Linked DNA regions of Caenorhabditis elegans. The protein of the gene in region 1 interacts with the protein of each later gene in a pairwise test. Each region holds a gene or a part of one and is shown on either strand. Other genes may lie near its edges.

Region 1 (3,758 bases):
GTCATCTATGTAGCCAAGTGGAGCCATTGACTGAAATTTTTTAATTTTCAGAAAATTAACATGCGTTTTTAATTATTTAGCCCGCTTTGGATATGGTTTTTTGGAACTTCGCACTGGCTACAAAATACCACTTATTTTAGGCCAGACAGCTATGTTTCGATTTACGCAGCTCGTGTACTTCTCGAGGAGAAGTATGCTTTTTACTTTGCAATTTTTGGCAGAAATTCATGGTTTTGAACCTATTAACCTAATTCATTTGTATTTATTTGTTCCAGCCTAGATTAATGCATTTACTGTTTAAAAACTATAAATTCTTGTATCCAGTAAATTCATTGATTTCTAGATAAACCACGTTTGAAAGTAAAGTTTGGAAGAGTAACCTTTTGTACCTTTTCAGTTGGTGGCCTAGAAATCAGCGAGTTTCTTCTTAAATTCAAAATTTGAACTCTCGCTTCATTATTCAAAATCTGTTCAGGTATTAATGTCAATTGCTCGTCACTTGCATCCACGTGGTTACTCTTCTCCACTTGTTGAGCCCGTGTAAGCCATGCTTCTAGAATATTCGGTCTTTGAAAGATTATAAGATAACACACATCATCATCTTTTAGTCGAAGAGCTCTTCCTGAAAATTGGTGGAATTCATTGGGTAGTTAACGGCTAGATCTTTGGTCAAACCTCTTTTGGACTCATGTACATCTACTTTCATATTTCGAATTTGAAGAGCCTCATCTTGGTTGTTTTCTGAAAAAAGTGTCTGCGTTTTCATTTCAAACTCTCGCAAGCTAGGCTCTGACCAATCAACGACGTTGGCCACGCCCCCGCTTCTCGCTGATTGGTCGGTGCCCTTCAATAACTCACTGGTTTGCAATCGAATATTTGAATTGTAAAATACGGCTCGCGCATTTTGCCACGTGTGAATTAGCTTTCCTTTTCGTATCACAACTTCTTCACTTAGAATATCCAAATTCAATGTACTCTTCGCACGAATTCTTGGCCGGCCCAGAAAAAAGCTAAAAATATGGCGGAATGCCGGCGAATCAGTGTATGATAAAATATCTTCCAAGGCTTTCGATGTGCTTTCAGTCTCCAGATTCTCATCGGACATTGTTAGAATTCGGCAGAAATCTTGAAGAATCGCAAGTGGAGAGGTGTCGGATTTTAGCTGCCTGTGAGATGGTTAGAATAAGTTTATGATTTTTCTTGTGTAATTTGCGACGTATCAGTTCGGTGAACCTCACTGTTTCCAAAACTGTGCAAACACCGACACCGATGCGCCTTAATTGATGGCCAAGTACAATTTTCCAGTTAAAGTAAAAGCGCGCTCTAACGTCGAATTCCCAATATAATTTGGGTCTCATTAGGTATTAGCGGCAAAATTGTAGATCTTTTTCAATTGTACACTTTTTCAGTTTTTTTTTTGCAGATTTTACCTTTTTCAAACATTTTTTCGTTCTGGTTTTTTTAAAATCTTTCTGCTGTTTTAACGATTTTTATGTCAAAATTTGTTTTCTAAAAGCATTTTATTTTATTTATTTTGACATAAAAACCTTCAATTTAAAATTACAGAAAAAAGTGGAAAACGTTTGAATTTTCGGTTTTTGCCAAAAAATGCCTGCCTGCCTACGAGCTTCATCTAAGCATACGCCTGCCAGTTTTTAATTTCTTTGATGAATTTTCAACAAATTCGTTGACAAGATAAAACTAGAAATTTGTGAATTTGTAGGCCGGTAGGCGCACGCAGGTACGTCGGTACGTAGGCAGGCACGCTCGCCGAACCTGCCTACTATAAAAACCCTAATGCAATAATGTCTCGTGTCATTCTAAGAGTGTTCACCCAGTTCCAGTTGGCCGTAATTTCATTTCAATTAAACTTGACGGGCGGTCCATTTAACTGTGAAAGGAATAATTTATTAGCTTACTTTCGGAAAAAATCCTCATTTTTTACAATTACGAGGAAATGACTCACCGAAAATGGTAATTACCAATTTGAAGAGTAATCACATCACATGAAAATTGTTGACATATTTGAGCACAAGTTGTGTGCTCATCACATTCTATACGTGTACTACGTTGTCCATCTGATGAGTAAAGTCTCAGAAATCTCGACTTTTTCTCAATTGGTTTTAGTAGAGTTGATGGGGATGATGACGTGGATTGTAGTTGCTCGTTGTTCATTCGGAGCTATAAAATTGGAAAAGTTAGTAGATTAGACTCCGAGTACTGTAGGAAATTGCGCGTTAAAGGTGATGCATTGAGTTGAGTTTTAATTATATGCAATCTCACTATCAGGCAAACGAAACCCATCCTGATCCCAAAAAATACCTGAGCGTGCACGACATGACTGGTTTGGGTTTTGAGTGGGATCCGCTTGGGTTTTGAGTGGGATCTACTTGGGGTTTGAGTGGGATCTACTTGGGGTTTGAGTGGGATCTACTTGGGTTTTGCATGGGATCCCTTTGGGTGTCTGAACCACCCAAATGGATCCCACTATACCCAAATGGATCCCACTATACCCAAATGGATCCCATGTAAAACCCAAGCGGATTCCACGAAAAACCCAAACCAGTCATGTCGGGGTCCACTTGGGTTTCGTTTGCCTGAGATTCGTCACATTTTTTAAAGTTAAAATATTATTATCGATAAAAAATTCGGCTTTTCCTGGAAAAACTTTTTTTTCGTATTATCCAGGAATTTCTTGATTTTTGAAATAATAGTTCTTTATTTTCCGTTGAAATAAAGATATTTAGGACAAATCAGTATCTCCTCCTGTTATTTTTTGGTCTTGGAACGAGGGAAACTTTTTACCGTACCCTTGGATTTTTTTCCAATTTTCCCAACAATTTCTTGATATTTTTAATTTTGAACCTATGAAATGCTTTAAAATGGGCAGAAACAGGTTTATTATATCAGGAGAAAATGAAAAAGATTGAGCGCTTACCGTACGCGAGGGTACGGTAACTGATAAGTTTATATCGCGTCGAGACCCGAGATAGAACAGTGAGACCCGAACATGAAACAAAATATTTTAACAAATGAGGAATTATATGAAGATTATCGAGATCCTCAAGAACCCTTGAAAGTTTCGAAAAAAAAAGCGGAGAAGCAGAAGCCATAAGTACTTGATGAAGGTGGAAGAAGTGTCCGGTTGGTCATTTGTCTCTCTCCCAGTCAGTCATCCAGTAGAATCCACTCGTGTGACATTTCAATGCAGTTAATTGGCCTACCGTCCCTCTGTGTGTGTGTACACTTCTGGATAATAATAATGGTAGAATAGGAGTAGGGAGAGGCTTGCGTGACGATAGACGAGGTCATTCAATTTGTACAGAAAAGAGTTCAAAGAGCGGATCGAAAAGAGGAGGGATTGATGGCTTTTGCTGTTGTAACGGAAAGCGGTTCGTTTTCTCCACGATACTTCATATTTTAAAAGAGAAAATGCGAAAAAAGGAATGGAACACGTAACTGGGTGAGAGGGGGGAACAGTAGAATATATAAAAATACAACTCTTGGAAGTAAAAATTAATGACATTTTCTGTATTGCACATGATTTAAAATCGGCGATTTTGGTAGTTCTCTCGGCTCTGCTTCGGCTGATATGGAGGAGCCTTCCACGGTGTGATGTTCTCGATCGACTCCATCTTGACCCAATGGAGCTTCTGCTGCGCGTGCACGTCGAGAATTATTCCCTCACCGGAACTGGAAATATGGAATGATGACATATATGGGAGTGGGAAGTCACTCGAAATCCGATGGAGGAATTT
Region 2 (3,758 bases), on another chromosome or scaffold:
TACAATGAGGATTTGAAAAGCACTGAATGGCCGAATAGAATTGATTCTTATGAGTTTGGTATGCTTTTTTCAGTGATATTTCTCCATTGTTTGAGTTTTCAGGGGAATTTCTCGGTCAAGGATGCAATGCAGCAGTTTACTCTGCGAGATTAGCCAATTCTGATGCAGAATCCTCAGGGAATACTCACTATGGTGCAGGGTTTAATGAAGTCACAAATATACTTGCAGAAATTCCGCCAGTTAGCAAAGTTGCACAAAAGGTAGTTGATAATCTTAATTCGATGATTAATATTGAAAAATCATTGCAGAAATTCCCGTTGGCAATCAAATTAATGTTTAATTTTGAACATGATCGCGATGGAGATGCTCATCTCTTGAAATCAATGGGAAATGAATTGGCTCCATATCCGAATGCTGCAAAGTTGCTCAATGGACAAATGGGAACATTTAGACCTCTTCCAGCAAAACATCCAAATGTTGTTCGAATTCAGACAGCTTTTATTGATTCGTTAAAAGTTTTGCCAGATGCGATTGAACGGTTAGCTTTGAAATTTATTGATAATGATTGAGAATAAGATTTTCCAGATATCCAGATGCCCTTCACACTGCACGTTGGTATGAGTCAATTGCCTCCGAACCGAAAACAATGTACGTAGTAATGAGACGATACCGACAAACACTTCATGAATATGTATGGACTCGTCATCGAAATTATTGGACAGGACGAGTGATAATTGCTCAACTATTAGAAGCATGTACATATCTTCATAAGCATAAAGTTGCTCAGCGAGACATGAAAAGTGATAATATTCTTCTGGAATATGATTTTGACGACGAGATTCCCCAATTAGTTGTCGCCGATTTTGGATGTGCACTTGCATGTGACAATTGGCAAGTAGACTATGAATCAGATGAAGTTAGTCTTGGAGGAAATGCCAAGACAAAAGCACCAGAAATTGCGACGGCTGTTCCTGGAAAGAATGTGTATGTTTTGAAGTTTAGAGTACTGTATATAATCAAAGTTTTTACAGAAAAGTAAACTTCGAAATGGCAGATACATGGGCAGCTGGAGGCCTTTCTTATGAAGTTCTAACACGATCAAATCCATTCTACAAACTTCTTGATACTGCAACATACCAGGAATCAGAACTACCAGCACTCCCATCTCGTGTCAATTTTGTGGCACGAGATGTCATTTTTGACCTACTCAAGCGAGATCCTAATGAAAGAGTCAAGCCGAATATTGCTGCAAATGCGTTGAATTTGTCATTGTTCAGAATGGGAGAAGATGTGAAGCAGATGATGGAAAAATGTGGAATATCTCAAATGACTACTCTATTGGCTGGAAGTTCTAAAGTTTTGAGTCAAAAAATCAATAGTCGTCTGGACAAAGTGATGAATCTGATTACTGCTGAAACTATCATGGCCAACCTAGCTCCACATTTGATTAGTCGAGCAGAACGACAACTTCGAGCAACATTTCTTTCAAGAATGAATCGAGAAGATATTTGGAGAAGTCTTCAATATTTCTTCCCAGCTGGTGTTCAACTTGACACACCTGCCACATCATCAGACTGTTTGGAGACTATTTCCAGTTTGATGTCGAGTTTTTCAAATGATTCAGAAAATTACGAGAAGCAACAGAAACCGGCTAAAAATGGATACAACAATGTTCCACTTCTTCTCAGAAATGTTATCCGTACAGATGCGGATGGAATCAATGGAATTGTACATAGAGTTCGATCTAAATAGATTTGTTTTAACGATTACTGTAGTTTGAAACCTCTAGATTACATATGTAATAACCTTTTTTTTTTACTTGTTGGTATTTTTCAAATTGTACAATCACTTTTCATGCCAGTCTATTGCGTTCTTTTGTCTAATTACGGTTTATCATTCCCTCATTTATGGAAAATATCATACCTTATTACTTTTTATTGTTCAAATACTGGTGGTTTTTAACCATTTTATACTACTTCATTACATCCTATTATTTCAGATCTCAGATCCTCTAACTGTAACTTTTAGGTGTATGAGCAGTCTTTACGTGCCATTAGTTTTACGGCTCGAAGTGAGAGACCGGACAAAAATCGTGCAATCTTTTATCGACGACTCGAAAGCAGGAAGTGAATCCCCACTGGCAGGTGAACGGACTCGTCAGAGACTAGTCAAAAAAGGAAATACTCCTCCAAAAAAGGAACTGAAAGGCAGAGAAGAAGATCCGCCAATTGGAGTTATGGTATATAGATCAAATTTTATTGAGACTAAAAGCTTAATCTGATTTTCAGTCATCCGAGCCATCACACAACTACCACAAAGGACGACGGACCTATTCTGAAGTGGTCATCGAATCTTTAGATGGAGAAAAACTTGTTGACTCGAGTTCTTCGGTTGCCGGAACATCGGAAAAATCTGGTGGAAGATCTGTTTCAGAAGGACCACGTGAGTTTGAAACATGTGAGATGGAAAATGAAATCTAAAAATTTCAGCTGACCAAGTTGCCTATTATTCTGGAAATCCTCTCACGGAAAAGACCGAAGGAATTATGCATTTTTACAAGTACAATGATGAGAAGTTGACAAAAGTTGCACAGTGCCGAATGTTGTGTATGTATGCTGTACCAGCACAAGTTGAAGTTCGTGAGATTATATCATTCATGTGTATCTCACTTCCGATGATTGTTAGTATTAAAGTTGTTCGAGATCCAGCGCCAAATCAGTATATGTTGATTATCAAGTTCAAGGAACATGTAGGTTCAAGTTATACTAACGATTAATTGGCAAATATTTATTTCAGAATGATGCTGTAACATTCTACGAGGAATTCAACAATTGCCCGTTTAATGATCTCGAATCGTATTGTTGCACGCTTTTCTTTGTGGATAGAATTGAATGTGTAAGTTATTATTATTTTATTTCAATAATTCCAGATATTTCGAAACAATTTATAAATTTCAGACAACGTCGAATGATCTCTTCTCCTCCGATGATACATCTCTTACGGAGCTTCCAACTTGTGCAGTTTGTCTGGAACGAATGGATGATAGTGTTCTTGCAATTCTATGTAATCATTCATTTCATGCTCGTTGCCTGGAACAATGGGCAGACAATACTTGTCCAGTCTGTCGATATGTTCAATCTCCAGAAGTTGTCGCAGAGCAACGTTGTAATGATTGTGGAATGAGCAACGATCTATGGATTTGTCTAATTTGTGGAAATATAGGTTGTGGAAGATACGCAGAACAACATGCACAACGACATTGGGAGCTCACTTCACATACTTATAGTTTGAAAGTTGGAGGAGAACGAGTCTGGGATTATGCTGGAGACAATTACGTGCATAGATTGATTGAAAATGGAGCTGATGGGAAACTTGTCGAGTATCAGAGAGAATCGAATGCGGTATGTTCATACTGGACCAAAAAAAAATTGTTGATTTAAAAACAATAATTTTTTGTTAAAAAACTGGTGGAAACAAAAAAAAAGAATGTTTTGAGGCTTCAAAGTGCCGAAAATCAACCTTTTCGTATAACTAATTTGAATTTCGCGCACTAATTAGTTTTGAAAATTCTCGGCCGTGTACTCCTCTCGGGCAATGAATCAATTAATTTTTTTGGATGCAATTTTTCGGGTTTTCTCATTGAATTCTATTGGTTTTTGTTTGAAAACAAATATATATATATATATATATGCGTCTGTAAATGCGTTTCAAATTAATTATCACACAAATACTTTTGTTCTGCCTAGGAATAAGTGCTA

What was found. The genes of interacting proteins can lie anywhere in the genome.
Region 2: the proteins of phlp-2 (region 1) and brap-2 interact in a two-hybrid assay, tested with the Caenorhabditis elegans proteins (one study listed by BioGRID).

What each region holds. Positions count from the first base shown.
Region 1 is NC_003281.10:4,207,909-4,211,666, reverse strand, and holds the start of phlp-2 (Protein phosphatase PHLPP-like protein), read right to left. Parts: upstream 2,180-3,758; 5' UTR 2,176-2,179; coding exon 1,967-2,175; intron 1,167-1,966; coding exon 859-1,166; intron 742-858; coding exon 676-741; intron 623-675; coding exon 390-622; intron 31-389; coding exon 1-30. Other genes in the region: R74.8 (RING-type domain-containing protein), read right to left, coding at 3,546-3,758.
Region 2 is NC_003280.10:5,391,461-5,395,218, reverse strand, and holds the start of brap-2 (BRCA1-associated protein homolog 2), read left to right. Parts: upstream 1-2,028; 5' UTR 2,029-2,032; coding exon 2,033-2,239; intron 2,240-2,288; coding exon 2,289-2,442; intron 2,443-2,489; coding exon 2,490-2,749; intron 2,750-2,796; coding exon 2,797-2,895; intron 2,896-2,957; coding exon 2,958-3,401; intron 3,402-3,758. Other genes in the region: pink-1 (Serine/threonine-protein kinase pink-1, mitochondrial), read left to right, coding at 1-58, 103-260, 309-538, 586-984, 1,032-1,752.